7 linked regions of the Macaca mulatta genome follow. The main gene of each other region encodes a partner of the protein of the gene in region 7 in a complex. Links are inferred from orthologs where the notes say so. Each region holds a gene or a part of one and is shown on either strand. Other genes may lie near its edges.

Evidence for each region.
Region 1: SF3B5 (region 7) and EFTUD2 share a complex: the UniProt entries of both Homo sapiens proteins name them as parts of the minor spliceosome. The link is inferred for Macaca mulatta from reciprocal best matches to the Homo sapiens genes SF3B5 and EFTUD2.
Region 2: SF3B5 (region 7) and CWC15 share a complex: the UniProt entries of both Homo sapiens proteins name them as parts of the minor spliceosome. The link is inferred for Macaca mulatta from reciprocal best matches to the Homo sapiens genes SF3B5 and CWC15.
Region 3: SF3B5 (region 7) and SRRM2 share a complex: the UniProt entries of both Homo sapiens proteins name them as parts of the minor spliceosome. The link is inferred for Macaca mulatta from reciprocal best matches to the Homo sapiens genes SF3B5 and SRRM2.
Region 4: SF3B5 (region 7) and CRNKL1 share a complex: the UniProt entries of both Homo sapiens proteins name them as parts of the minor spliceosome. The link is inferred for Macaca mulatta from reciprocal best matches to the Homo sapiens genes SF3B5 and CRNKL1.
Region 5: SF3B5 (region 7) and RNF113A share a complex: the UniProt entries of both Homo sapiens proteins name them as parts of the minor spliceosome. The link is inferred for Macaca mulatta from reciprocal best matches to the Homo sapiens genes SF3B5 and RNF113A.
Region 6: SF3B5 (region 7) and ARMC7 share a complex: the UniProt entries of both Homo sapiens proteins name them as parts of the minor spliceosome. The link is inferred for Macaca mulatta from reciprocal best matches to the Homo sapiens genes SF3B5 and ARMC7.

Annotation. Positions count from the first base shown.
Region 1 is NC_133421.1:69,232,006-69,235,662, reverse strand, and holds part of EFTUD2 (116 kDa U5 small nuclear ribonucleoprotein component), read left to right. Parts: intron 1-690; coding exon 691-773; intron 774-1,867; coding exon 1,868-1,954; intron 1,955-2,190; coding exon 2,191-2,317; intron 2,318-2,516; coding exon 2,517-2,604; intron 2,605-3,224; coding exon 3,225-3,343; intron 3,344-3,469; coding exon 3,470-3,564; intron 3,565-3,657. UniProt on the Homo sapiens protein: Required for pre-mRNA splicing as component of the spliceosome, including pre-catalytic, catalytic and post-catalytic spliceosomal complexes. Component of the U5 snRNP and the U4/U6-U5 tri-snRNP complex, a building block of the spliceosome.
Region 2 is NC_133419.1:95,762,317-95,767,051, reverse strand, and holds the start of CWC15 (spliceosome-associated protein CWC15 homolog), read left to right. Parts: upstream 1-1,516; 5' UTR 1,517-1,609; exon of another isoform or gene 1,610-1,628; intron 1,629-2,935; 5' UTR 2,936-2,943; coding exon 2,944-3,074; intron 3,075-3,960; coding exon 3,961-4,073; intron 4,074-4,382; coding exon 4,383-4,471; intron 4,472-4,735. UniProt on the Homo sapiens protein: Involved in pre-mRNA splicing as component of the spliceosome. Component of the PRP19-CDC5L complex that forms an integral part of the spliceosome and is required for activating pre-mRNA splicing.
Region 3 is NC_133425.1:4,056,009-4,060,162, reverse strand, and holds part of SRRM2 (serine/arginine repetitive matrix protein 2), read left to right. Parts: intron 1-65; coding exon 66-98; intron 99-281; coding exon 282-332; intron 333-498; coding exon 499-591; intron 592-1,232; coding exon 1,233-1,431; intron 1,432-2,484; coding exon 2,485-4,154. UniProt on the Homo sapiens protein: Required for pre-mRNA splicing as component of the spliceosome. As a component of the minor spliceosome, involved in the splicing of U12-type introns in pre-mRNAs.
Region 4 is NC_133415.1:63,971,320-63,976,189, forward strand, and holds the start of CRNKL1 (crooked neck-like protein 1), read left to right. Parts: upstream 1-1,622; 5' UTR 1,623-1,757; coding exon 1,758-1,808; intron 1,809-3,774; coding exon 3,775-3,927; intron 3,928-4,870. UniProt on the Homo sapiens protein: Involved in pre-mRNA splicing process. As a component of the minor spliceosome, involved in the splicing of U12-type introns in pre-mRNAs.
Region 5 is NC_133426.1:126,364,439-126,368,311, reverse strand, and holds RNF113A (E3 ubiquitin-protein ligase RNF113A), read left to right. Parts: upstream 1-1,656; 5' UTR 1,657-1,871; coding exon 1,872-2,906; 3' UTR 2,907-3,013; downstream 3,014-3,873. UniProt on the Homo sapiens protein: Required for pre-mRNA splicing as component of the spliceosome. As a component of the minor spliceosome, involved in the splicing of U12-type introns in pre-mRNAs. E3 ubiquitin-protein ligase that catalyzes the transfer of ubiquitin onto target proteins.
Region 6 is NC_133421.1:84,791,044-84,795,907, forward strand, and holds the start of ARMC7 (armadillo repeat-containing protein 7), read left to right. Parts: upstream 1-1,588; 5' UTR 1,589-1,661; coding exon 1,662-1,752; intron 1,753-1,835; coding exon 1,836-1,979; coding exon of another isoform or gene 1,980-2,011; exon of another isoform or gene 2,012-2,383; intron 2,384-2,684; exon of another isoform or gene 2,685-2,718; intron 2,719-4,864. UniProt on the Homo sapiens protein: As a component of the minor spliceosome, involved in the splicing of U12-type introns in pre-mRNAs.
Region 7 is NC_133409.1:49,347,978-49,351,316, reverse strand, and holds SF3B5 (splicing factor 3B subunit 5), read left to right. Parts: upstream 1-1,880; 5' UTR 1,881-1,981; coding exon 1,982-2,242; 3' UTR 2,243-2,573; downstream 2,574-3,339. UniProt on the Homo sapiens protein: Component of the 17S U2 SnRNP complex of the spliceosome, a large ribonucleoprotein complex that removes introns from transcribed pre-mRNAs.

The sequences.
Region 1 (3,657 bases), on a different chromosome or scaffold from region 7:
AATTGCACAATTAACCCATGGGTGGTGATTAGGTCTCAGAGTGGGTGGTTTCAAGGAGAGAGTGGGAACTGTCTCTCCCGGATTCTTTGTCAAGCCTTGATGTAGCCCCTCAAACCGTATATTACTTGGCCTCTTTGTCCTAGTTGAGACGTATTTTCTCCAAGGCCCTGTGGAGACCCTCGGTACTCCTCTTAGACTCCTCTACTGATGTATCTAGGAAGCACTGGTGTCGCAGAAAACACTAGGTTTCCTGGGCAGCAGACCATGTTGGGGCTTCAGGGCAGAGCTTCACTCAGACGCTGTGGGTTGAGAATGGCACGGGTGCACACCAGTGGGTCTCTAGCACCAGCTCTGTCAGACCCATGGGGGTTGTTCAGTGAATGGTGGTGGACAGCCAAACGGATGCTGAGAGCTATCTTGGAAGACTAGAATTAAGGCCCTAGTTTGATATCCCACTTATTCTTGGCTCAGGAATCTAATTTCTTTACTACAGTAAATTTTCTCGGGCTTTTTGGTGATGGTTTGGACAGCTCTTTTAACCTGCTGTTGTACTTGTCACTTGTGCTGATTAAGGCAGTTGGGATTTTCACAGAGGTAGTGTCAAGGGGAGCTTCTGAATTCCCTTAGGTAAATGGTTGCCCTTCCAACAAAATTAGACCTCGCTTCAGTAATTTATTTTCTATTTCCCAGGTGGCTGACCCAGTTGTCACGTTTTGTGAGACGGTGGTGGAAACATCCTCCCTCAAGTGCTTTGCTGAAACTCCTAATAAGAAGTAAGCTGGGAGCACAGTGTCCCCGGGACTGCAGCCTCCAGGACACTCTCTCTCCTTTATCTTCCACCTCCACCCCCACCATGAGCACTGTGCACAGAGACCCCTACATCTCAGAATGGGGGGTGCTTACAATACTTGAGTTTCACTCCAGCCCTCTCAGCCCTTCTGCCTTTGAACGCAATGCCATGGGATTATTCACCTTGGATATTCCCAAGAGGAGTTTCATAACTGCCACTTCACCTCTATAAAATAACTATCTTAAAAGTTTACTCCAGGCCGGGCGCGGTGGCTCAAGCCTGTAATCCCAGCACTTTGGGAGGCCGAGACGGGCGGATCACGAGGTCAGGAGATCGAGACCATCCTGGCTAACACAATGAAACCCCGTCTCTACTAAAAATACAAAAAAATTAGCCGGGCGAGGTGGCGGGCGCCTGTAGTCCCAGCTACTCGGGAGGCTGAGGCAGGAGAATGGCGTGAACCCGGGAGGCGGAGCTTGCAGTGAGCCGAGATAGCGCCACTGCACTCCAGCCTGGGCGACAGAGCGAGACTCCGTCTCAAAAAAAAAAAAAAGTTTACTCCAAACCTTACTCGCTTTTTGGTTTTTGGGTTTTTTTTTTTTTGACACAGGCTGGAGTGCAGCCTCGACTTGCTGGGCTGAAGCAGTCCAGCAGCTAGGACTGTGGGTATACACCATGCCATCTGTTAATTTTTTTATTTTTTGTTGTCCAGTCTGGTCTTGGACTCTTGGGCCCAAGTGTTCCCCCCACCTTGGCCTCCCAAAATGCCGGGATTACAGGCGTGAGCCACTACGCCCAGCTGTTTGTTTTTAAGAGGCAGTGTGTTGCTGTATCACCCAGATTGGAGTGCTGTGGTGTGAGCCATAGCTCACTGCAGCCTCAAATTCCTGGGTTTAAGTGATCCTCCTGCCTTGGCCTCCCAAAGTGCTGGGATTATAGGTCTGAGCCACCACACTTGGCCCCCGTGGCTTTCACCGATATTACTTCCTCAACTGTCCATCTTGTTACCCTTTTCTTAGGAATGCCTCTTCTGCTGTTCTGTTAGCCGTCCTTACCACCCATTTCCATTCTGACCAGGAACAAGATCACCATGATTGCTGAGCCTCTTGAGAAGGGCCTGGCAGAGGACATAGAGAATGAGGTGGTCCAGATTACATGGAACAGGTGAGAGGAGGGCTCTGACACCAGGATCGAAAGGAGGCAGGGATGCCGCAGCTTACCTGCCGGGTCTCTAAGAGCACACATCTTTCTGGGAAGCATTTATGTCTTTGCCGTTGCTCTTGTTCTGGGCACAGTGGGTAGGATGAGGTGACTGTCTTCCAGGAAGGGAGGGTCTATGGCTCCAGGACCAGCAATCACAGAGCTGGCCGACAGCTCCATTGTCCCCCTCCTTTCCCCAGGAAGAAGCTGGGAGAGTTCTTCCAGACCAAGTACGATTGGGATCTACTAGCTGCCCGTTCCATCTGGGCTTTTGGCCCTGATGCGACTGGCCCCAACATTCTGGTGGATGATACTCTGCCCTCTGAGGTACAGCAGAACTGATGGGAGCCGGGTGGCAGTCTCTTACCTCTGGAGTGGAAGAAACTACAAAGTGTTCTTTTCCCAAGAGTATCTTGTGTCCTCTGATGAAGGACAGTATCCCCTTACAGGCACATCTATCTTCTCCCTCTAAACGCTTCAGCTGTTGTCAGGGTGACTGCTAAGGAGGCCTCATGTTTCTCTGTAGGTGGACAAGGCTCTTCTTGGCTCAGTGAAGGATAGCATCGTTCAAGGTTTCCAGTGGGGAACAAGGGAGGGCCCCCTCTGTGATGAATGTAAGTCCACCAGCACTCCCCCACCCCAGTCCTCGAGGGTCCTTGCAGCCAGGCATATGAGTGGGATGGGCTCACCATCTTTAGGACCCGGCAGGAGAAGCAGCTTGGGGTACACAGGACCATCCCGTGTCCTGGGCCAGCTTCTTCCCTTCTTCCTTATCCTGGTGGTGTAGCCTGGAAATTTAAGTCATTTCTAAACTGTCATTTGCTCCTCATTTCTGAGAAGGGTTTGGCCTTGGACATATTTGAGAAGAGATACCAAGAGGATGATGAGATTGGAGTGGTTAATAGACCTTGATTGGGCTTCGTGCACCAAATGTACAATTCTGGAATTCTACATCCACAAAAATGTAAATATGTGCAGAAGAAAGAAATAAACTTCTAGGAAAGCTCTATGTCTGAGCATGGCCTGAAGCAAACACTAAGAACCTATGCTTAACTTCTGACCTCTGCCATGGGCCTTGCTTATTCAGTTAGAACGCCCACCTCCCATGTGATTTTTGTATCATGTCTTTCATGACTGCAAGACAGCTGCAGTGTTGCAGGAGACTGCTACTCCACCATGGCCCTGTGACAGGCCCAGAACCTCTCCCCAGTCACTGCCTCCACCTCCTTTACAGTGATTCGGAACGTCAAGTTTAAGATCCTGGATGCAGTGGTTGCCCAGGAGCCCCTACACCGGGGTGGGGGCCAGATCATCCCCACAGCCAGGCGAGTCGTCTACTCTGCCTTCCTCATGGTAAGAGAATGGGGCTGTAGGAGACCATCTGCTTCGCTGGACTGTGGACTAAGTGAAGGAACAAGTGGGACTATAGGCCCTCAGCCTTCCCTAAGCTGAGGGACCTTTCTTCTTGCTCTGCTGCAGGCTACTCCTCGTCTGATGGAGCCTTACTACTTTGTAGAGGTCCAGGCCCCTGCAGATTGCGTCTCTGCAGTTTATACTGTCCTGGCCAGGCGCAGGTGAGCAGCCCCAGCCCCAGGCATATTAGGAAGAGTGCTGAGAGCAAGAGCAGAACAAGAGTCACCTCGGCTCCTGCAGGGAGGAGAGATTGG
Region 2 (4,735 bases), on a different chromosome or scaffold from region 7:
CCCTGTTTCGTAAAACAGAAATGCCCAGTTGGCTGTGTCTAGAGCTTAGTGTGTAAGCGAGTGACTGATTGGAAGTGAAGTCTGGAAGTTAGGCAGGAGCCAGACTCCGTGGCGTCTCAGGTCACATTAAGAAATGTGATTTTTATCCTAACTGCAGTGAAATTTTACACAGGATAGTAACACCATTTGATTAATTTTAAAAGATCACTCTCTTGGCTATATGCAGCATTGACTGTAGGATAAAAGATGACGCAGGAAGATACAATAGGAAACAATTACAATCCAGGTAGGAGATGGTGTTGGCCAGGACAAGGGTAATGGCAGTAGAATAAAATTTCGGGTAAGTTTTAAAAGTAGAATTGGTAAGACCTGTAAATGAACCGTATGTGAAAAGTGAAAGAAAAGGAATTTAAGTAGGCACTCTGGGATTTTGGTTTGAGTAACTAGTATGATGATCGTGTCCTTTAGTGAGACGTGTAAGACTGGAGGAGGGATACCTTTAGTAAGAAAAATCAAGATTTTCATCTTGAACTCTATGAGTGAAAGGGCTTTTTCTGCTTTTCTTTCTTCATTTAAAAGTTGCAAAGAATTTAGAGGTAAGAAAGCATTTAAATATTCAACTTTGTGAGTTCTTTATATTTTAAACTAAGTTGGGGAAGTTGAATTTTCATTTGTTTAACAAATATTAATTGAGCAGCTACTATATGTCAAGGTCTATGTGATGAGATACTAAGATTAGCTAAACAATCAAGATCTCTGTTCTCAGGATTTTTTTTTATGGAAGGGAGGAGACAGGATTGGTGGGTTTTTGGTTTTTGGGTTTTCTCCTTTTCGTTCTTATTAAAACTTAACACTTAAGTAGCCATCTTAGTAATTACATCTTGTGCTCCTGGCAGTTGGGCCCACCGTTCTAAACGCTGTCGTAAATATTGACATCTCCCCTCCCACTAAAACTAACGTTTTTTAAATAAAAAATTTTAGCAAACATTACGAATACAACCTTTGCTTTGAAGTGTTAATATTTTTGCAGGAATGTACCTTTGTAAAGATCGTGGTTGCCCCGTACATATTTGTTCTTTCTTCATATCCAATTAAATGAAAACACTAGTTTTTCCGAAGCCCAACTCTCTAGGTTTGTTGGTTCTAGCTCAGGAGAAAGGATGGAAGCAGGAGTCGTTGGATTTAAACAGTTTGGTGTAATCCTTTTCCACGCTCTCTCCCGCTAGCCGGGGACGTGGTGTCGGCTACCCGGGGCTTTCCGTCCACGCAGTACCGGAATGAAGGAGTCTGGGAGGGGGTCGGGGACGGAAAAGACGGAAGAGACATTAAGTAATTGGTTCTTGAAGGTATAAAATGATATTTAGGGTCTACTCTAAGGCACTGATTTCAAACGCCCGCCCCCTGGGCCGTTTCGGCCCCGCCCCTTAGTGCCGTTACGCCGACTTCCACTTCGGCCACTGCGGATTGGTCGTTGCTTCCGCCTCCGAAGCGCTTGGATTTTGCTTCCGGGTCGTAGGCGCTAGCCCTGGGCGCAGAGGTTTCTGGGAGCCCGGAGTCGTAATGGCGTCTGTATGATCTTCGGAGATTGCTGCATCGGACCTCGGCCAGTGTGAGCGGCAGGAGGATAGGTTATCTTCCTCATCCCGGTGGGACGGGAAAGGGCAGTTGGGGTCGGAGTCGGCGGCAGAGTGCAGAGTGCGGGCGGTGGAGGACCTAGAGCAGCGGGCTAGGGGCGAAACGGAGTGCCTGTCAGGCGCGTCCGGAGCTCTCGGGCCGCAGAGGAGATCGCAGCATAAAAGGCAGCGCGCCTACCGCGTAAAGCGAACCCCAGGTCCTCCTTTCACTACCCCTCGCACCCCTGCGGCGCTGGGCACGGGTTAAGGGGCAACGAGTTTCTGGTTATAGCCAAAGACTAGCTCACGAGAGGCCGGAGTGATAATTCCGTTAGTGTGTGGGAAGGGGCGGACTCCCAGCTCCAGATAACCCCGTTTCTTCTTTGTATACATGTCTCTTACTCTTTTTGAAAATTAGGAGAAAGCACTCCCCCCCCCCAAAAAAATCCTCCCAGTTCGCCCACCCTCCCCACACACTTGCTTTTCCGACACTAACAGGGTTTTAATGACTGCATCTGCTAGGCAGTATTCTTGTGACTGCTCCAAGCAGAAAGTAACTTAAGGAATGGGTCCCTGATTTTTGTCATCAGAATCCTCTGGGGCTGAGGTTCCTGTTTTGTTTTTGTTTTTGTTTTTTTTGAACAGTCCTTAAGTTATAACCCACAAACGATCTGATTTATAATATGATGCCTGTTGTAGGAGAAAATTGGCTCAACAAAAGGTTAAGAATTTTTTTCTATGTACCTGTCATTGAAGTTTAACACACTTTCCTTAGTAACTTTTTTCTCAGACACTTAGTAACTTTGTCAGTGATATTTTTTGTTTGTTTTTAGCTTTTGTTTCTACTAGCCTATTTGCTATTGTGTGAAGTTTAGATAAAATGCAAACCTTAGAGAGTCTGGTAGAGTAAGGTTGAGTTGGAAATTTTTAAAACTTAGTCATGGTGGTACTGTATTTTTCAAGGCTTTTGACATGTCAAGTGTCATAATTCTTATAGTAATCCTATGAGGAATATCTCCATTCCACGGATGACAGAAAGTTAAGCCAGGTGACTTGCTCAAGCCCATATAGTCAGAAGGAGAATAGGGATGCAAACTCAGATCTTCATGACAGAATTTTTTGTACTAAGACAAGCCTGAGAAGCCCTATTCGTTGTATGGCCTAAGCCTCATAATTTGTTTTCCTGAAAACTTTTGTTTAAGAAGATTAAGCAGGTTTAGGGGAATGAGTTTTAGAATTTATTTCACTAGTATGGATATTAATACTCTGTAAAATGAGTGTTTGTATTGTTGTAAATAACTTGATTATATTTTTCTTCAAAGCATAAAAGATGACAACAGCAGCCAGGCCAACCTTTGAACCTGCAAGAGGTGGAAGGGGAAAAGGAGAAGGTGATTTGAGCCAACTTTCAAAGCAGTATTCAAGCAGAGACCTACCCTCTCACACAAAGATAAAATACAGGTAGTAAGACTTTCTTTTTTTTCTTTCTTTTTTTTTTTTGTTGAGACAGAGTCTCGCTTTGTCGCCCAGACTGGAGTGCAGTGGCCGGATCTCAGCCCACTGCAAGCTCCACCTCCTGGGTTCACGCCATTCTCCTGCCTCAGCCTCCCGAGTAGCTGGGACTACAGACGCCGGCCACCTGCCCCGGCTAGGTTTTTGTATTTTTTAGTAGAGACGGGGTTTCACCGTGTTAGCCAGGATGGTCTCGATCTCCTGACCTTGTGATCTGCCCATCTCGGCCTCCCAAAGTGCTGGGATTACAGGCTTGAGCCACCGCGCCCAGCCTCTTTTTTTTCTTGTTCACAAAACAAGACCAAATCTGTTAAATGGCATGGTCATGATATAGTAGTATGTTCGAGTTATGTCACTTATCTATTATCATAGGATTAGAATGCAATAGGATGTTTAACACTAAAATTCTGCCCTGTGGTTTTAAAATGCAAAATTCCTACTAACCAGAAATTTTCGTATGTAGATACAACAATAAATAACAGAAATAATAATGCCTCAGAGAGATTATGCACTATCAGCACCAGTCAATATATTAAAAGTATTACTGTTAAGTTCTGAGTTGATAATACCAATAAAAATTAAAGACATTTTAATCACGTAAAGCCTTATTATAGGAAAATGCGTGATTGAATTTGGACTTCTTGAAATATTGGGAACATCACAAGAGTGGCTGTTAGTAACTTTCAGATTAGATTATGATCTTATCTACTTCCCTTTTTTATGCTTGAAGGACAAAGTCTCATTCCTGAATTGTCTTCCATTACCACAGTCGTGTGTGTGTGTATGTGTGTGTGTGTTTAAGTACCATTTTTGCCCTGGTTTGTTTCTACTTTAGACAAACTACTCAGGATGCCCCTGAAGAGGTTCGTAACCGTGACTTCAGGAGAGAGTTGGAAGAAAGAGAGAGAGCTGCTGCAAGAGAGAAAAACAGAGATCGTCCAACCCGAGGTACCAACACTATCCAAGACATTTATCTCTAAAATTATGTTGTTGATAGTTTTTCTTTTATGTAGCAACTGGAAAATATTAACCATTTGTTTGCTTTTACAGATTGATGTGAGCTGTAATACTTTCTTAAGTCATTAGAGATAACAATAACAAATATTTACCAAAGGCTTATTTGCCCAGGCACTGTGGATGTGATTTCACTGTGGATAATGCTTTCAGTGTGGGCTCCTCGTGCCCACAGGTCCCTAAAACATTTTAAGAAATGCAGTATTTGTTTTACTAAGTTAAGTGATTTTTGTTTCCCCTCAGAACATACAACCTCCTCTTCAGTGTCAAAAAAGCCACGGTTAGACCAGATTCCTGCTGCCAACCTTGATGCAGATGACCCTCTAACAGATGTATGTTTTGTTTTCTCCTTTCATCTCTAATAATTGATTTACCATGTTTTTCTGAAATACTTGTTATGCCTTTGGCTTTAAGAAGTGACATATATTTGCTTGCTGTTATTCAAATATAACCCTGACCTCAGTGCTAAACTTTATAGTTGATTTTAAAACAAAAAGTATTATTTTGTGGGACTTTTAAGAACAAGTTTGGTCTCTAGAGAACCAAATATGGAAGGAATCTTAAAAGACATGCTTTCCCGCAAAATAATGTCCTGT
Region 3 (4,154 bases), on a different chromosome or scaffold from region 7:
GGAGAAGGCTTGCTGAATTCAGGCAGAGGTGTTTTTTATGTTTTTTCTTCTCTTTTTTCCGACAGGTCAGAATCCGAGTCCAAGAAGCGTAAGCATAGGTAAGAGCTCTTTAACTCATTGGGGGCACAGTGGCATGTAGAGTGGTGATTTCTTTTTCTTGAAGTGAAGCTCAATACCTTGATCTTTCTCCTGTTAACATTCCCTAACTCTTTCCATTTCACTTTTGGTTTTATTTCCTTTTTTAAAAAAGTTACTTTTAACAATCTTTCCTTATTTCTCAGGTCTCCCACTCCAAAGAGCAAACGTAAATCTAAGGACAAAAAGCGAAAGCGGTGAGTGAATTTGTGGGGAATTTGCTTAGAAAGTAAGTGAACACCACCTTAGTGGGAAGGGGTTGAGTCAGTTATGTCCCTAACTGGTAAAAGGTTGAGGGGTAGGTGAGGAAAATCCAGGGCAGGTACAGCAGTACCCTGAGCTGTGGCGGTGGTCTTCCTTCAGGTCTCGAAGTACAACACCAGCCCCCAAGAGCCGCCGGGCCCACCGTTCAACTTCTGCTGACTCTGCTTCCTCCTCTGATACTTCCCGCAGTCGGTAAGGGGTAGTCCAGGAGGAAGGGAGGGAGAGGGAATGATGGGTTAATTAATTTAATATTTATTGAGCGCCCACGGTGTGCTAGGCGCTGCACAGACCATTCGGAAGACACGGTCCCTGCCCTCTAGGAGCTGACAGGCTAAAGCAACAGGATGGACAGACATATACATTTCCCCTTCTCTTTTTTTTTTGTTTTTGTTTATTTGTTATTTTTTGTTTCGTTCTGATGTATATGGACTGCCAGAATAGGGGGGGTGGTGGTTTGTTCGTGGTGTCTGGGGGAGGAAGGAATCCTTACCCTGGCTTCCTTAATCGGGGAAGGCTTCCTGAAGGAGGTGGGCTCAGAGGTGAGTTGTGAATGAAGCGGGTAGGGAGTGGGCTGGGTGGATGGTTTCGGGATGTTTGGGGGAGGTGAGTGAAGGGGTAGAGGGAGAACACTGTTTGGGATTGTGTTGGGAAGAGAAGAACCAAAGTGGACTGTACTTGCATTTCAGTGAATGATTTGAGTTATGCGACTAAGCAGGCTTTTTGGAAGAGGGTTGTACAGTTGGAAAAGGTGGATGGGAGTTGGGGAGGGGGTTTCCTGTTCTCCCTTTGAGCTGATTTCCTTCCTCTCCCCCATCCTCAATTAACTCCTGCAGGTCTCGAAGTGCTGCAGCTAAAACTCATACAACTGCCTTGACTGGGCGAAGTCCTTCCCCTGCTTCAGGGCGACGAGGGGAGGGAGATGCACCTTTCAGTGAACCAGGTACTACCAACACACAACGGCCTAGTAGCCCGGAGCCTGCTACAAAACAGCCTAGCAGCCCTTATGAAGACAAAGATAAAGACAAGAAGGAGGTATGTTACTGAGTTGGTGATGTTCATTGGATTGCAAGTATATAGATTTAGGATAAACTTGTGACATGAAAGGGAGAGGTAGTAACTTACTAAAATAAATTCGGTTATTTTTTTCTGCATTGATCTCCCAGTTTTCTTACTGTATCTGCAGAACTTGTAGCGTTGTTACTAGACTGAATTGTGAACCCTTTAGAATCAAATCTCACTGGATACTAATAGGTTTTATATTGTATCTTGTTTATACACAGAACTGGAAGAAAAGTTGTATTTTGTCTGTGTACGCCGTGTAATGCCTCTAGTTTCTTTTCTTTTTTCATTAAATGCTCGTTGTGTCTCACTAAAACTGTTTAATCCATTGGGGTGCCACCAATAGTTTGAATGAAACACTGGAATAGTCTTCAGTAGTTTTCTAATTTTAAGTGTTAATCATTTCCTCTTGCTTTAGTGATTACAGTGTAAATTCTTGGCCTCTGTCATCAATTTTCCATGTCATCCAGGATTACCTTTCCAAATTACAAGTTGGTTGATCTCAGAAACTTAACTGCTTCCTTATTGCTTTTGAATTACATTTAAGGCTTTTAATAATTTGGTCTTTTTCTCATTTCCTGTACTCTTTCCATCCTGGTCTGCTTTTCTACTCTTCAAACAAATCGTGTTCTCACATCTTTATTCATGTTGTTTCTTTTCCTTTAATAGAGTTATTCTTAAAAGGTGAAGTTGCCATTTGCTTTAGGAAACTGCTTATTTTTCCATTTAAAGATAGTTTTTTCCGCTTTGATAACATTTCGTAGTGGTATTTGTTGTTAAATGTAGTAGTGTGTTAGTTATTTGCGTTTAGTGTTTCTTTCAGTTTTAAGATTCTCAGATTATCCATATCTTCATATGTTTTCCCCACTGTTCTTTATATAATTCTTTGTTATTGAATGAAAGTGATTGCTTATGGTCAGGGGATGTGTAAAAGAAAAGTTATTGGAAAGGGTGTTGGGATCTTAGGAGTGATGTGAAGTCTTGGCGTTTATGAATCCCTATCCCTACTCTCTCTTTCACTCTTAGAAATCTGCAGCTCGACCTAGCCCCTCTCCGGAAAGGAGCAGCACAGGCCCAGAACCACCTGCTCCCACTCCGCTCCTTGCTGAGCGACATGGCGGCTCCCCACAACCACTTGCAACAACCCCCTTAAGCCAGGAGCCAGTGAACCCCCCATCTGAGGCCTCTCCCACTCGGGGCCGTTCACCACCTAAGTCTCCTGAGAAACTTCCCCAGTCTTCTTCCTCAGAGAGCAGCCCACCATCCCCTCAACCTACCAAAGTTTCTCGGCATGCCAGCTCTTCCCCAGAAAGTCCTAAACCTGCTCCAGCTCCGGGGTCCCACCGAGAGATTTCTTCTTCTCCCACATCCAAGAATCGCTCACATGGCCGAGCAAAACGGGATAAATCACATTCTCATACCCCTTCCCGTAGGACGGGGAGGTCCCGTAGCCCTGCCACCGCTAAGAGAGGGCGATCTCGGTCTCGAACCCCTACAAAGAGAGGTCATTCTCGATCCCGATCTCCCCAGTGGCGTAGGTCCAGGTCTGCACAGAGGTGGGGAAGATCTAGAAGCCCCCAGCGACGTGGCCGCTCTAGGTCTCCTCAGCGACCAGGCTGGTCTAGGAGCAGAAATACCCAGAGAAGAGGCAGGTCTAGGTCAGCAAGGCGAGGGAGGTCCCACTCTAGATCCCCAGCCACTCGGGGCAGATCTCGTTCTAGAACACCAGCCCGGCGGGGCAGGTCACGCTCTAGAACACCTGCTAGGCGGAGATCACGATCCAGAACACCCACCAGGCGTAGGTCTCGGTCTAGAACACCAGCCCGGAGGGGCAGGTCTCGGTCTAGAACACCTGCTAGGCGCAGATCTAGGACCCGATCGCCAGTACGACGGAGGTCTCGTAGTAGATCACCAGCCAGGAGAAGTGGCAGGTCACGCTCTAGAACCCCAGCTAGACGTGGCCGCTCACGCTCCAGAACCCCAGCCAGACGTGGCCGCTCACGCTCTAGAACCCCAGCTAGACGCAGTGGTCGCTCACGCTCCAGAACACCAGCCAGGAGAGGGAGGTCTCGATCTAGGACACCAAGACGAGGAAGATCCCGCAGTAGAAGCTTAGTTAGACGTGGAAGATCTCACTCTAGATCACCTCAAAGAAGAGGCAGGTCTGGCTCATCTTCAGACCGGAAAAACAAATCCAGAACATCTCAGAGAAGAAGCAGGTCCAATTCGAGCCCAGAAATGAAGAAATCTCGCATTTCTTCAAGGCGAAGCAGATCTCTGTCTTCACCACGGTCCAAAGCAAAATCTCGTTTGTCTTTGAGGCGCAGCCTTTCAGGATCTTCCCCATGCCCTAAACAAAAGTCACAGACGCCACCCAGGCGCAGTCGCTCTGGATCCTCCCAACCTAAAGCTAAATCTAGAACGCCACCTAGACGCAGTCGCTCCAGTTCTTCTCCGCCACCTAAACAGAAATCTAAAACACCATCAAGACGAAGTCATTCCAGTTCGTCTCCTCATTCTAAAGTGAAATCTGGAACACCACCAAGGCAAGGGTCCATAACAAGTCCCCAGGCCAATGAGCAATCTGTAACGCCACAAAGAAGGAGCTGTTTTGAATCATCACCTGACCCTGAGTTGAAATCTAGGACCCCTTCGAGACATAGTTGCTCAGGGTCCTCTCCTCCTAGAGTGAAATC
Region 4 (4,870 bases), on a different chromosome or scaffold from region 7:
AGTGGGATGAAAGATTAAATGCTGGGAAATAAAGTAAACACGAATGTGTATCTACAAAAGCATTGATGGCAAAAAGTAAGAAGGATAATACATTTTTCCTTAAAAAAAAAAAGAGAGATGAACTGAATTGCCAGACAACAAAAATGAGAGATAAAAGGATGGTGATCAGAAGCAAAGTATTCTAACATGTTTGTACGTTTGAGCAAAGGCAACAGATGATTAAATCAATGATTCATTTGGCAAATCAATTGTTTACAGTTACACATTTAAGGAAAATCATTTCAAAGAAACATCTTTTTAATATATTTTATTTTGTTAGGTGGCTTTATGAAAGTGATATAAAATCTTCTCTATTTAAATTTTGAAAAGTGAGATCAAATATCTAAATAATATGGTTAATAAAGAGTTATGGCAAAAATACTGATGTTGGTTATAACTGCAGTTCTAGAAATCTGCATAAATCTTTTTTTGAAAGCAATAGCTGCATTGGTAGACGTGATATTACTACATACACAATATATATTTTCCCCAAAAACCAAAAGAGCCTTGCAACTATGAAAATTATTCTAACAAATGTGCTGCCAAGTCGTGTCATTGTACATTTGTCCAAACTCATAGAATGTACAGCACCAAGAGTGAACCCCAACATGAACTACGAACTTTGAGTGATAATGATGTGTCAATGTAGGTTCATGATTGTAACAAATGTACCGCTCTGGTGGAGGATATTTTTGAGAGTTGGAGGCTGTTAAAGTGGGGAAGAGGTATAATAATTGATGGCAGGAAGCTGTTGAGGGGGGAAATCTCTGTGCCTTCCACTTAATTTTGTTGTGAACCTAAAACTTCTCTAAAAATTTGTCTATTAAAAAAATTCTTTTAACTTTTGCTTAATTTTTCCGTTTTTGAGGGCAGGTTAAGTATTATAATAGCTACATTTACTGAGAATTTGTCTTTAATCCTAGTGAAACAGATGTTATTACCCTTGTTTTATAGTTGAGGACACTGAGGCTAAGAAAATTTGAGTAATTAAGGCACACACAGAATTTAAACATATTTCTTATCACAAGACTGAGTTGTTTTCTAGTTACTCTATTTTTTACTTTCATTTTGTCCTAATATCTGGCTTCTAAGTACCTTCTGTTATTTTTAATTCCAAGCCTTAGAGTTAATTATTTGGGCACAACTGTCCAGAAACCAGAAACGAGGGGGCGTGGACCCAGAGACTACAAGACCTAGAATGCAATGCAGAGCCAGACAGCCTAAAAGGGCGGCAGCTCGCCCCTTCGCATACTGGGAATGGTAGTTTCCTCGCTCTCCCTTCGTTCCCCCGCCCCTCGAGCATCCAGATTGGAGCTTCGACCCTACTCCCTTGCAGGGCGCCACGGCTAGACAGAGCCTCTCTTCCTTGCCTGGTCATCCCAGTTCTGGAGGCTGACCTGGGGATACGCCCTTGACGCCCTGAACCGCAGTCCTCGCGTCGCTGCTAGTCAGGCCGGCGCTACCCACCTCACGCGCAGCTCCAGGACGCCGCACTCCGCGCGCTGCTGTAAGGAGGACGCGCAGCCTGGTCCCCATGGAAACGGTGCCACGTCCGTCACGGCGCATGCGAGAGGTCAAAGGTCAGCCTGGCGAGTTCCGCTTCCGATTCCGGGATCCTGTTTGTTGTCGGAAAGCTTTGTGGTTTCGGTGAGCTCTCAGACCGCGGATTTCTAGCTTTCGTGCGGGAGACAGGTGCCCCGAGGTCCGCTGCTGCAGACATGGCGGCCTCCACCGCGGCCGGGAAACAGCGGATTCCCAAAGTGGCCAAGGTAGGCGATCGCGAGGGGCCTTGTGGGAGGTGGCCCAGGAGAGGGGCATCCCTCAGCCCTGGGGGTGCCCCGGGCGGGAGACAGTGTTCCCGCCGGGGAGAGGGCCCACCCTGAGAGATGGAGAGGAAGGGTCAGCTGGTGGTGGGGCGCGGGCTCTTGTCATCGCGGAGCACGATGGGGCGGTTTTGCAGGGAGGAGGAGTGGAGTGGTTCAGTGAAGATTTACTGACCCAGGCACTGCACTGGGCGCTGGGAAGCTACGCTCGGACGCTGGCCAGAAGCAGTACTCAAAACACGAGTGTGTGTATGAGGACGATCTTGCCAGATGTTACTGAGAGGCAAAGTAGAATATGCCATGGGCGTGAATAAGGGGGTCGTATGAAGGGTTCCTGAGAGTAAATTTTGCTGAGGAAATGACCTTTAAGCTGAGACTTGAAGACTGAATAGGAGTTAGCCCAGCTGACAGCGGAGGGTGAGAATAGACGGCAGTAGTAGTATAGTATCATAAGTTAATTAAACAGTAGATTTACTATCTGGTATTTCCCTCGATAGCTGATACTTACGAAGTGCTTAATATGTGTCAGAATTTGTCTGAAGCCTTTACAGATATCCTCCCTCCAGTCTTTCTTGAGCCCAGATGACTCTCTTGAACTGGACCTTTACATAACTATTTGTCTGACTCGCAAAAGTAATGCATGTAGAGCAAGTAACAGTGTGTCTGGCACTTAGTGCTTATTAAATATGAGCTATCACCATTATCATTACTCCACACGTGGCATTAAATAACAATTTTTATAATTCAGCTGCGTACACTTTTATTGGGCATCACCGGTCCAATGGAAATACAGTGCACGGCACATGAAATTTTAAATTTTCTCCTATCTACATTAAAAAGTAAAAGCAGGCCGGGCGCGGTGGCTCACGCCTGTAATCCCAGCACTTTGGGAGGCCGAGGTGGGCGGATCACGAGGTCAGGAGATCGAGACCATCCTGGCTAACACGGTGAAACCCCGTCTCTACTAAAAATACAAAAAAAAACTAGCCGGGCGTGGTGGCAGCGCCTGTAGTCCCAGCTACTCGGGAGGCTGAGGCAGGAGAATGGCGTGAACCCGGGAGGCGGAGCTTGCAGTGAGCTGAGATCGCGCCACTGCACTCCAGCCTGGGCGACAGAGCGAGACTCCGTCTCAAAAAAAATAAAAAATAAATAAAAAAATAAAAAGTAAAAGCAAAGCAAAAAAAGTGACATTAATTTTGATAATATATATTTTATTTGAACTAATGTATCCAAAATATTATAATTTCAACATGTAATCGGTATAAAAACTGTGAGATAGTTTGTTCTTTTTTTCATACTTCATCTTCAAAACCAGTGTGTATTTTACATTTACAGTCCACCTCAATTTGTGCTCACCACATGTGACTCATAGCTACTGTGTTGGACAGCACAGCTCTAAGCTATGTTAGACTATAAACTTCTAAGACCTCAAGAAACTTACAGTCTAATGATGGGAACTTATTGAATAGTGCCTTTGACTTGAGGTTCCGTGAAAAACCATACCCACTTTTCCACCAGGGGCATTAAATAAGTTGAAGAATTCTGCAAATGCAGGTGGTAATGCTATTAATAAGATGTGCTACACATCTTGATAAACCCTCTGGTCAGAATTTTACCTACACGGCCTCAAAGTTTATTATTATACTCATCTAAAAGGGAAAACTTGGTATTATTTTTGCCACCTTTTTCTCTTGAGACTTTTACCTGTGGCTTTGTAGTAGATACCATGAATAAGAGAGAAAACATAGTATTTTTTTTTCTTTTTAGTCTCATGGAGGATGGGAACATGTCATACAAAGAGAGCATCTTGTGATAATACTAATGAAGTTCATATCCTAAAAAATGTATGTTTGTTTCTTAAACCTTGTGTGAAGAGCATCTACTAAAAATAGAAATGTCTTGTTCTTAAAAGGTGAAAAACAAAGCCCCGGCTGAGGTACAGATAACTGCTGAACAACTCTTAAGAGAGGCTAAAGAAAGAGAACTTGAGCTTCTTCCACCTCCACCTCAACAGAAGATCACAGATGAAGAAGAATTAAATGATTATAAACTAAGGAAAAGGAAGGTCAGTCAGTGTGGTATCTTTCAGTCCACTAATTGTTAAGAGTGTATCAGTCAGAGTTTGAAAAGCTGGTTGGATTCTGTAGGGCAAGGTGAGGTTAGTGTTCCTAGACACATGAATAATGCCTTCTGGTTACCAGATAACAGCATTTTTCTGAACTATATAAAATATGCCTTGAGTTGTCTGGTTAAAGTATAAAACAATTGAATCTGCATAATTTTTGGTACTGAATCAAAAATGGGTGGAAGTTTAGCAGGTGAAACAACGGACAACTGGAAGGGGGTATGCTTAGTAAGGCTGGACTGTGTACTTCTGTCTATACCACCTTCTGTGTTAAGAAATGAGATCTGGCCGGGCACTGTGGCTCATGCCTGTAATCCCAGCACTTTGGGAGGCCAAGGTGGGCTGATCACCTGAGGTCAGGAGTTTGAGACCAGCCTGACCAAAATGGTGAAACCTCATCTTTACTAAAAATACAAAAATTAGCCGGGCGTGGTGGCAAGTGCCTGTAATCCTAGCTATTCAGGAGGCTGACATGAGAATCGTAGGAACTCAGGACGCAGAGTCTGCAGTGAGCCGAGATCATGCCACTGCACTCCGACCTGGGCGACAGAGCGAGACTTTGTCTCAAAGAAAAAAGAGAAGAAAGGAAAAGGAATTGAGATCTGCAAAAGGACTATGAGAAGACTTTGGGATCTGATTTGACCTCTTCACTCTAGAATGTGGGACTGTTTTAAAGCATGAATTCTGTTATATATGAAATTCTGAACGTTACCAGAGGACTTACGGGTAATAGTCAAAATATTTTTTATTAGGGACAAGCATAGACTATTTTAAAGTATCAGTTAGTTGATTGTAACCTTCTGTAGTGGATTTCTTATTCCTCAAGGATTCCAGGATGTAATTTCTCTTAAATATGAACGAAATGAATAACCAGTTTAGTACA
Region 5 (3,873 bases), on a different chromosome or scaffold from region 7:
TTATATATTAGCATTGTATGACCCTTGGCAAGGCATTACCAGAACCCACCTCAACCCTGGCAGAAGGCTGGCATCAGAGTGGCTTCTTACCTTTGACACATAGTGACGATTAACTCCAGAGATGCGCCTATCTCTTTCCATCAGATTCCAGTGATACCCAAAATGAGCAATCCTTTTTTCCTTCAAATAAGAGACAATTATTGTTGCAGTTTATAAAAGTGAGTGACCCAGTTGATGGATATTACAATTTTTAGAAGGGACATTCTAGAGAAATGGAATCATCATTCAAATAAAAATGCAAATTAGTAGTACAAGAACAGAATCTCCTAAATAAAATCAGACCACTACACTTTAGGATTAAGTTGGTGACCGTGACTTCTTACACTATTTTAACCAACATGAATTTCTTTTCCTTTTTAAAAAAAAGAAAAAAAAAAGAAATATCTAGTTGTTGCCTTTTGGGACACTAAGAAACAACAGCTGTAGATCACACGTGGACAATCACAAATTCAAAAAGTAAATAAATTTATACTCTGTACTCTAGAGATGATGTGAAGGGCTAAGAGGGGAAAATGAATCCTGATGTAAAACACAAGACCTTGCAGTAAATTCCTAAACGCTTGCAAGAGAAAGTGGGGAATAAAAAAGTCAAGGGTGGCCGGGAGCGGCGGCTCACGCCTGTAATCCCAGCACTTTGGGAGGTCAAGGCGGGTGGATCACCTGAGGTCAGAAGTTCGGGACCAGCCTCGCCAACATGATGAAACCCCGTCTCTACCAAAATAAATAAATAAATAGCCGGGCGTGGTCCCGGCTACTCAGGAGGGTGAGGCAGGAAAATCTTTTTTTTTTTTTTTTTTTTTTTTTGAGACGGAGTTTCGCCCTTGTTGCCCAGGCTGGAGTGCAGTGTCGCGATCTCGGCTCACTGCAACCTCCGCCTCCTGGGTTCAAGCGATTCTCCTGCCTCAGCCTCCCGAGTAGCTGGGATCACAGGCATGCGCCACCACGCTCCACTAATTTTGTATTTTTAGTAGAGATGGGGTTTCCCCATGTTGGTCAGGCTGGTATCGAACTCCCGACCTCAGGTGATCCGCCCGCCTCGGTCTCCCAAAGTGCTGGGATTACAGGCGTGAGCCACCGCGCCCAGCCAGGAGAATCTCTTGAACCCGGAAGGCGGAGGTTGCAGTGAGGGATTCTCAGGCTTGAGCCACCTCTTCTAATCTACCTTTCCGGCCCCCGCGTCGCTACTCTGCCCTAAGGCCCACTTTGATACACCCAGAAACGCTGTTTTTCACCAGAGCAGGATGTGGTTTCTACCGCGCTTCGTTTCGCAAGCCTCGGCTTCTAGGCAACCGGAAGAAAATAGAGGGCCGGCCTCGGAGAGAGGGTCCGCAGGCTGACGGACTCTCTGCCCACCATCCTTTTCAGAAATCAGCCAGTGGAGTCAGCCCCCGGGCCCAGGAAGCCGCCTTACCTTGCCCCCGTTAGTGAACCTCTGGATGTACGCAGTAGCCAGTCCTGGAATAAACAAGCACACGCCCATGGCGGCGAGTCCGGGGAGAATCTCGAACCACATCTCTGCCCCGTTATCTAGGCCAAAACCCTACTTCTGGGTCCTTGAAAGGTGACCGGGCTTCGGCTCCCTTCCCAGTAAGCCCCGCGGCCGCCCGCGAGCGGGGCGGTGCCACGTACGGCTCCGGAGGAAGCGACGGGATCTGCCAGGGCTCAAGAGAGGCTGGCGCTCGCGCTCTCGCAGTTCTCTTCCGTCAGTGTCTTTTGCTTCGACTCCCGGCGGAGCGCGCGACGTGGAGTAACGCGCAGAGGCCAAGTGCAACCCAGGCAGCGACGGCCGTTTCGGAGCTCGGGACTCTAAAATGGCAGAGCAGTTTTCTCCAGGGAAGACGGCGGATCAGGTGTGCACCTTCCTTTTCAAAAAGCCTGGGCGGAAAGGGGCTGCTGGACGCAGAAAGCGCCCGGCCTGCGACCCAGAGCCCGGAGACAGCGGCAGCAGTAGCGACGAAGGCTGCACTGTGGTTCGACCGGAAAAGAAGCGGGCGACTCACAATCCAATGATACAGAAGACTCGTGACAGTGGTAAACAGAAGGCAGCTTACGGCGACTTGAGCAGCGAGGAGGAGGAGGAAAATGAGCCCGAGAGTCTCGGCGTGGTTTATAAATCCACCCGCTCGGCGAAACCCGTGGGACCAGAGGATATGGGGGCGACAGCTGTCTATGAGCTGGACACAGAGAAAGAGCGCGATGCACAAGCCATCTTTGAGCGCAGCCAGAAGATCCAGGAGGAGCTGAGGGGCAAGGAGGATGACAAGATCTATCGGGGAATCAACAATTATCAGAAATACATGAAGCCCAAGGATACGTCTATGGGCAATGCCTCTTCCGGGATGGTGAGGAAGGGCCCCATCCGAGCGCCCGAGCATCTACGTGCCACGGTGCGCTGGGATTACCAGCCCGACATCTGTAAGGACTACAAAGAGACTGGCTTCTGCGGCTTCGGAGACAGCTGCAAATTCCTCCATGACCGTTCAGATTACAAGCATGGGTGGCAGATCGAACGTGAGCTTGATGAGGGTCGCTATGGTGTCTATGAGGATGAAAACTATGAAGTGGGAAGCGATGATGAGGAAATACCATTCAAGTGTTTCATCTGTCGCCAGAGCTTCCAAAACCCAGTTGTCACCAAGTGCAGGCATTATTTCTGCGAGAGCTGTGCACTGCAGCATTTCCGCACCACCCCGCGCTGCTATGTCTGTGACCAGCAGACCAATGGCGTCTTCAATCCAGCGAAAGAATTGATTGCTAAACTAGAGAAGCATCGAGCTACAGGAGAGGGTGGTGGTGCTTCCGACTTGCCAGAAGACCCCGATGAGGATCCAATTCCCGTTACTTAGCTGTCTGATAATTCTTAAATTTAAAAAATAAATATTTTGTTCTTTTGGAAGTCTTAATTCGTGTCCTTCCTTTGTAGAGACAGTGACAGAGAAGGCGGGTGGTGAAGTAGGGTCCTGGATTAAAAACCTCAAGGTAGGTATAATCAGGATTTTTAGCCCTAGGATAACCATTTTGCCTGTGTTTCTTTTCAGAACATTTTGGCATCAATTATAGGGGTGGGAGTAGTTTGAGAAAAGAGCTATAATTTGCTTGAAGTAGCCAAAGCTATGACGAAAGTAAGAACTCTGAGCCTGTTTATCATATCACATTTCTGTATCACTTAATGGTTTACAAAGTACTTTCATGCATTCTTTCTCTTGGGAGCCTGTACTACAAAATATACCGGAGCCAAGGTGTTGGGGAGAGGGGTTGCGTTTGGGGAATTGGTAGCTAGTACCACAGGCTTCACATATGGGAAATGTTCCTTGCTGTCTGGGTTATTTATTTATTTATTTATTTATTTATTTATTTTTGAGACGGAGTCTCGCTCTGTTGTCCAGGCTGGAGTGCAATGGCGCTATCTCAGCTCACTGCAACCTCCGCCTCCCGGGTTCAAGCGATTCCCCTGCCTCAGCCTCCCGCGTAGCTGAGACTACAGGCGCTTGCCACCACGCCCAGCTAATTTTTTGTATTTTTAGTAGAGACGGGGTTTCACCATATTAGCCAGGATGGTCTCCATCGCCTGAACTCGTGATCCGCCCACCTCGGCATCCGCCCACCTAGGCCTCCCAAAGTGCTGGGATCACAGGCGTGAGCCACCGTACCCGGCTCCCTTGCTGTCTTGGAAGCAGCTATAGTTAACCCCCTCTTCCATGGATGATAAAAGTATCTGTGCTTAGCTATCCAAGTGTGATAGACACTAGCCTCATGTGACTGTTGAGTACTTGAAATGTGGCTGACCACTGTATTGGACATTGCTATTGTAGA
Region 6 (4,864 bases), on a different chromosome or scaffold from region 7:
ATAGGGCATTGCAAAGGTAGTATCCATGCCATAGTAAACTATATGGGTATTCAGGGAGGTAAAGAAAGAAAGGCTTTAAGGGAAAAAATAGGATTACATAATTGTTTTGAGATAATTATCCTTAGGTAGAAGAATTAGTAACAAGGGTGACCAGTTCAACGTTGGACAGGAAAGTTGCTGGGCAGATGGCCATTCAAAAGTATGTTTTGTGCAAGGTTGGGGTTTTTGCAGAATCTTTGTGATAGTTTTCATTATCAGATATTTATGCATGAGAACCCTCTTGTCATGGTTTTCTCCGACTCTGTCCGGGTTTTTTTGTTCTGTTTTTTTAACACAAGTGACTCCAATTAGATTAACAACTTTTGCATTCTCAGGACACTCACAGCCTAAGCCACCTCTCTACCCCTACGTTGTCAAACGCGATGGGAGTGTAGTAAGGCCACCTCCTTCCCTGGTGCTTTGTTCCCTGTAACCACGAGTAGTAATCCATCACACACCTGCTTCCCGAGAATCCTCGAGAAGGAATCGGCCGAAGGGCTTCAGCATCCAGAAAGCCCCGAAAGCGCCACAAACAAGGCTCTTCCTCCGGCTCCCCGGTGCTGCCCCGGGCGCGCGCCATCCACCCGGCTGACAAAAAGCACCAGGACATGACCCCGTCCCCTTTGATTTCTGTCCAGAGGTGGCGGACTCACCTCGGGGCTGGGATAGAGGACGGGTCGGGGTCGCTACGCTTTTTGCAAAAGGGTCAAAAGACTGATGGGGGTGGGTAAGGAGCTGACGCCCGCGCTCTAAAGGGGCGCCCCGCCAGCCATGGGGATCCTGGAGGTGCTTCTGCCTCGACGTCCTCCCAACATGGGTGCTGCCAGACTCCGTTGCGCTCCTGAGTTGCTCCTCACGTCATTCCAGCCGCCCGACATGGGTGCCTCACTTTCGGCTTCTGGGCCACGTCGGGGCGGCGGAGGACCCGGGGGGCCGGGCGGGAGAGTGGGAAAGGTGGGGCGGGAAAGCCGAGAGAGGCCCTCACCCGCCTTCCTGTTGGCGGGGGCGGCAAGTGGGTTTCTTTCTTGCGTTCAGATTTTGCAATAATTTGCAGCTGGACATAGGATATGGGAGACAAGGCTGCTCCTCGCAGTACACCCACCCACGCCCATACCTCCCTCGGCGAAGCGTGTCGCAGCGGGTTCCAGCGCAGGCTAAAGAGCTTCCGCAGCCAGAAAACCGAAAGCGCGCCGCGCACGCGCGCCAAGGAGTTCGGCGACGGCCCCGCCCTTCGCCTGCCTCGTCCCGCCCCTTCCGCGCCTTGTAGGGTGGGGACAGCGCGGCTTCCGCCGGGAGCCTGGAACCGAGCCCGGCAGCCGGGGGCTGGGCGCCAGTACCCACTCCGCCAGCCCCAGCCCGCAGACGGTTCCCTGTCTCCCGCGCCCCAATTTCGATTTTCAGACCCAACTCCTACAGGATTCTGAGACCCCGGCCCATCTCCCCACATTCCATTTCCAGCTGCAAATTACTGCAGAGTCTGAACCCAAGAAAGAAACCCGTTTGCCGTCCCCGCGTCTTCCCTCGCCAGACAGGTGGAGAGTGGGTGAGGGTCTCGCTCGGCTTTCCCCCTGCACCTTTCCCACCCGCCCGCCCGTCCCTGGGGGTCCTCCGTCACGCCGGCCATGGCCCAGAAGCCGAAGTTGGACCCCCACGTCGGGCGTTTGGGATACCTGCAGGCGCTGGTCACGGAATTCCAGGAGACCCAGAGCCAAGGTGAGAGCCACGGTGGGACCAGGTGACAGGGTCGGCTGTGACCGCCGCCCGGACCTGGCTCCAGTGCCGCTTTCCCGTTGCAGACGCCAAGGAGCAAGTCCTCGCCAACCTCGCCAACTTCGCTTATGACCCCAGCAACTACGAGTATCTGCGGCAGCTGCAGGTCCTGGATTTATTTCTCGATTCGCTGTCGGAGGAGAACGAGACCCTGGTGGAGTTTGCTATTGGTAAGGGCTGGGCCCGTTCGCTAGATGGCTAAATGGGCCGGGGTGAGGTAAGTGAGTTACAAGTGAGTCCTTGGGGCCTGGCGTGGTGGCTCACACATGTAATCCCAGCACTTTGGGAAGCCGAGGCGGGGGGATCACCTGAGGTCAGGAGTTCGAGACCAGCCTGGCCAACATGGCAAAACCTCGTCTCTACTAAAAGTACAAAAATTAGCTGGGCATGGTGGCGAGTGCCTGTAATCCCAGCTAAGCGGGAGCAAAAATTAGCCGCACACAGTGGTGTGCACCTGTAGGCCCAGCTACTCTGGAGGCCGAAGCAGGAGGATTGCTTGAGTCCGGGAGGCAGAGGCCAAAGTGAGCTGAGACTGCGCCACTGCACTCCAGCCTGGGCGACGGAGTGAGACCATGTCTCAAAAAAAGATGTTTTAAAAAGAGCAGTTTTGTAGCCAGGCGCGGTGGCACACGCCTGTAATCCCAGCACTTTGGGAGCCCGAGGCAGGCGGATCACCTGAGATCAGGAGTTCGAGACCAGTCTGGCCAACATGATGAAACCCCGTCTCTAACTAAAAATACAAAAATTAGCCGGGCGTGGCGGGCGCCTGTAATCCCAGCTACTCGGGAGGCTGAGGCAGGAGAATCACTTGAACCCGGTAGGCAGAGGTTGCTGTGAGCCGAGATGGCGCCACTGCACCCCAGCCTGGGCAACAGCGAGACTCCGTCTCAAAAAAAAAAACAACAACAATTTCAGGTGGGTGAGGTGGCTCACACCTGTAATGTCAGCACTTTGGGCGGCCGAAGCAGGCAGATCACTTGAGTCCCGGAGTTCAAGACCGGCCTGGCAAAAGCCCATCTCTGCTAAAAAAAAAAAAAAAAAAAAAAAAATTAGTCTGGCGTGGTGTCCCAGCTACTCAGGAGGCTGAGGTGGGAGGATTGCTTGAGCCTGGAGGACGAGGCTGCAGTGAGCTGGGATTGGGCCACTGTACTCCAGCCTGGGTGACAGAACGAGAATCTGTCTTAGAAACAAAAGTAACTCATATTTAGTGTTTTCATATCAGGAGAAGCAGAGATGGCTTGCAGTCTGTAACTTACGGCTTCTTTTGTAGTTATGATCTTAAGACCTATTGATTTATTCACTGGGCAGATATTTACTGGGCATGTACCGTATATGTAAACTACTGCTCTAAATGCTGGAGTATGGTGAACAAGTTAGGGGAAGTGTTTGCCCCTCAGGAGCTTACATTCTAGTAGGGGGGACAGGTGGTTAGCAAACAAAAAAGATGATGCTCAGCAGCAAATAAATGGGGTGATGAGAAACAGCAGTAGAAGGTGGTGGTTACTTCTGTTTTGGCCATCATGAGAAAGGCATTTTAGCAGGGACACAGCATGGGCAAAGGCCTTAAAACAGGAAGGAGCCAGAAGGAAGATGAATGTGGCAGGATCGTTATAGTGAAGTGGAGAATGGCACAAAAAGAGGATAGAGAGTTAAGCAGCACCAGAGCTTGCCGGAGCTTAGATCTAGGCCGTGGGAAATAGTTTGAAGCAGACAAAATTTTGAGAACAAACAAAAATCCCTTTTTCAAGCCATGCACAGTGCTCATCTGTAGCCCCAGATAGGAGGATCGCTTGAGCCCAGGAGTTTGAGGCTGTAGTGTGCTACGATTGCATGATTGCACCTGTAAATAGCCACCGCACTCCAGCCTGGGCAACACGCGCGTGATCACCTGGCTGAAGTCTTGTCAGGCTTCTCCACTGTAAAATTACTCTTTCTTTCCCCTCTTTACGTATTATGTATTATACCCATTGGAAGGAAGTCACTACATAAATTATCTTAAATCTTTTTCTTTTTTTTGAGATAGGGTCTCACTGTGTCACTTAGGCTGGAGTACAGTGGTGTGATCATAGTTCACCATAAATTTAAACTTCTGGGCTCTAGCAGTCTTCCTGCCTTAGCCTCCCGAGTAGCTGTGACTACAGGTGGACACCACCATGCCCGGCTTTTTTTTGTTTTTAATTTGTTTTCGAGAGGATCTCACTGTGTTGCCCAGACTGGTCTCGAACTCGGCTTTTTTTTTTTTTTTTTTTAATTTGTTGTCGACACACGGTCTCACCGTCTTGCCCAGACTGGTCTTGAACTCCTGGCCCCAAGAGATAAATCGCTTGTAACCCTAAACAGACCCTCATTTCATAACACTGATTCTTGAAGGCCCCAACCAGGAATGCAAATGTTCCCCCTTCCGGTTTGTCTCATTGCCTCTTTGTGGTTTGTTTCTTTATCCCCTTTATTTCCTATAATCTAGAAATTGGGTTGAAAGTCTTGATAGGATCAAGTAACACATTTTATTTTATTTTATTTTATTTATTTATTTATTTATTTATTTTTTGAGACGGAGTTCGCTCTGTCGCCCAGGCTGGAGTGCAGTGGCGCGATCTCGGCTCACTGCAAGCTCCGCCTCCCGGGTTCACGCCATTCTCCTGCCTCAGCCTCCCGAGTAGCTGGGACTACAGGCGCCCACAACCGCGCCTGGCTAATTTTTTGTATTTTTAGTAGAGACGGGGTTTCACCGTGGTCTCGATCTCCTGACCTTGTGATCCGCCCGCCTCGGCCTCCCAAAGTGCTGGGATTACAGGCGTGAGCCACCGCGCCCGGCTATTTTATTTTATTTTATTTTTTGAGATGGAGTCTTGCTCTGTCACCCAGGCTGGAATGTGGTGGTGCGATCTCAGCTCACTGCAACCTCTGCCTCCTGGGTTCAAGCAATTCTCCTGCTTCAACCTCCCGAGCAGGTGGGATTACAGGCGCCCGCCACCATGCCTGGCTAATTTTTGTGTTTTTAGTAGAGATGGGGTTTCATCATGTTGGCCAGGCTGGCCTCAAACTCCTGACCTCA
Region 7 (3,339 bases):
TCACCCTGCTTCAGCTCTCTCTTGGTGGGCTGCACCCACTGTCCTGCACCCACTGTCCAACACGTCCCAGTGAGATGAACCCAGTACTTCAGTTGGAAGTGCAGAAATCACCCGTCTTCTGTGTCACTCACACTGGGAGCTGTAGCCTGGAGCTGTTCCTATTCGGCCATCTTGGAACCTGACCCAACAAAGTTTAAACAGCAGAATAAAATAATTTTCAAGTTATCTCTCTCCTAGTAAAGTTTTCCTTCCCTTCCGTTGTAATAGAGTTATTTAACCATTTATCAAATTTTTGTTTTGGATTTTTTTTTTCAAGTAGCTTCTACCCATGTAAGGAAGTTATTAAACCAAACAGTAGGATATAAAGCGATAACAAGGAAGAGATGTATAACCTACAAAGAGGAAGGAGAGTTTACATCTGTCTGGAGCAGCCAGAGAAAACTCTAAGGAGATGCATTTGAGCTGCCTTTTTGGGAGATGTATTCACCAAGGGAACAGACATTCCACGTAGAGGGAACAGCTTGTACAAGAAAATGGGGACGGGCACAACAGGTAACACGGAGAAGTACAGTTGTCCCTCAGTATCCGTGAGTGATTTGTTCCAGGACTCCCATGGATACCAAAACTAGAGGATGCTCAAGTCCCTGATATAAAATGGCTTGTATTTGCACATATGCACATTCTCCTGTATAGTTTGTCTCCAGATTATTTAACAATACCTAATACAATGTAAATGCTATGTAAATAGTTGTTATACTGTATTGTTTAGGGAATAATAACCTTAAAAAGTCTACACTTCAGTACAGACTGACTTTTTCCCCAAATATTTTCAATCGGGTCGGTTGAATCCACAAAACCCACTGAATGGAAGGGCCAAGTAGGGTGCAGTGAGGCCTTGGAGGAAGGATATCAAAATAAGTGGCTAGAGGGGAAGGAGGAGCTTGAGGTGGAAGCCGGAATGTGTGGGAATTGGTGCTGTACTTGCTCACCAAGCACCCTGGTTAGAGCTGAAATAACTCTTTTATGCCACAGACTCCTAAAAGACATAGCTGGGACCAGAACTTGTGCCTGCCGACTTCTGGGTAATCCATCCCTGGTTGTGAAGGGATGGCTGTGCTACCATGATAGCTTTGGAAAACACGGAGAGTTTATTTTCGGGGCTGCTTGTAGTCCAGTCCTACTTGGGTTTCCCATTTCCCATCAGCCCCAAGCCACCCACGGATGCTCCCCACCTCCCAGACATCACCCTCCACTAGGTCCCCAGATCACTTTTAAAACGCGACCAGGGGCCTGGCGCAGTGGCTCACGCCTGTAATCCCAGAATTTTGGAAGACCGAGGAGGGAGGATCACGAAATCAGGAGTTCGAGATCAGCCAGGCAAAGACAGTGAAACCCCATCTCTACTAAAAATACAAAAAAAAAAAAAAAAAAAAAAATTGGCCTGGCGTGGTGGTGTGCGCCTGTAATCCCAGCTACTGGAGAGGCTGAGGCAGGAGAATCGCGTGAACCCAGGAGGCGTTAAGTTGCAGTGAATCGAGATCGCGCCATTACACTGCAGTCCCGGCAACAGTGCGAGTCTCTGTCTCAAACAACAAAACGAGACCAGGAGTTCCAGAAGACTACGAGCACGAACTCCCAAGACCACAAGTCCCAGCATGCAAGGCTCCCTGTTGGAAAAGGGCTTCCCATAGCCACCAAGTGGACCATCATGCAACGCTCTCTGACGGGGCGGGGCTCTCTACAGGGGCGACACACTTGTGGCGTCGCCTCGGCAACTCCAATTCCGTGACAGAATGTGCTTCCGCTTCCGCCTTTGAGCCCTATGAGCGAGACTTACGCTACTTAGTCGTCGTGACGCCATTCTTCTGCGACGGCGCGGGCCTGGAGCTTCCGCACGGTGGCCTCACTCCCGCGTGAAACGCCAGAGCGGCGGTTTGTTGTCTGCGTCCTCTGTCCTGGGAACTAAGGGGAAAGCGGCGAGATGACGGACCGCTACACCATCCACAGCCAGCTGGAGCACCTGCAGTCCAAGTACATCGGCACGGGCCACGCCGACACCACCAAGTGGGAGTGGCTGGTGAACCAACACCGCGACTCGTACTGCTCCTACATGGGCCACTTCGACCTTCTCAACTACTTCGCCATTGCAGAGAATGAGAGCAAAGCGCGAGTCCGCTTCAATTTGATGGAGAAGATGCTTCAGCCTTGTGGACCGCCAGCCGACAAGCCCGAGGAGAACTGAGACTCTGCCTTACCACCACTGTGCGGGGCACCTCTCCCAGTGTTCCTCAGGTTGGCCAATCCCTTCGACTATTTCTGCCTCCAAAGGACCGGCTCTCCATGGCTCCTGCGTCTGGTACTTCCGCGTACAGAAGTGCTTGCCCGGGGAATCCCGCCTGACCTGCCTTCATGTGAACCCTTTGGAATAGCACTGGGAGACCAGCAGAACTCCTGAGAACTGTGCTGGTGAAGAGGGCCTAGAGCCGGCAAGCGTTTGAGAAGAGGGCGTGGCGCTGGAATGAGATGGGATTTGGCGTCTCATTTTTGGCTAATTGATTGTCATTGGCTTTTTCCATAAAGTTTAGAAATCATTAAGTCTCTTGGTGTGAACTTCCTGTGTTAGGGTGGAGGGCTCCTGAAAGACCCGAGCGGGAAATGGGTCGGGGGAGGGAGTGCATGCCAGTGTCCATGATCAGGTACTTAAATCCACCCTGTCTACCATTATAATTAATTCCCCGACTGCCACTTCTCCCAAGAGCGTTATTTTCAGGCCCACAATGCCTTCAGTATTGAAGTTTGTAGTTATTGTATCCCATTTTCTTTTTCTCCCGTTTTAAAAGTCTTTGCAGTCTTTGCTGTCATTGTCCTCCTTAGCCTCTTTAAAATGCATCCTTTCTTTTTCTTGGGAATTTGTGGCCATGTCTCCAGAAATGACAAGCTGGCAAGTGAGTTCATCCTTTCTATATTCAACAAATATTTGTTGAGCTCTATGTGACAGGCATTTTCCCATGTTCTTGAGGCTTACATTATGCTGGTGGTGGAGAAAGGAGGTCAAACACTGTAGACGTAATAAGTAAATGTTAGAAGATGCTGCGGGGAGGGGAGAACAATGTACGTGGTGTGGGTGGGAGTAGTTGGTAGGGCCATAATCTTAAATATGATACACAAGTTACTGAGATGGTGACATTTGAGCAAAGACTTTAGGGAAATGAGGGAAATAGCCATGCGGAAAACTGGAGAAATTGCTTTCCATGAAGAGGGAACTGCCAGTGCAATGGTACTAACACTGGGAGTATGTATGGTTTATTGGAGGACCTGCAAAGAGGCAAGCATGGCTGG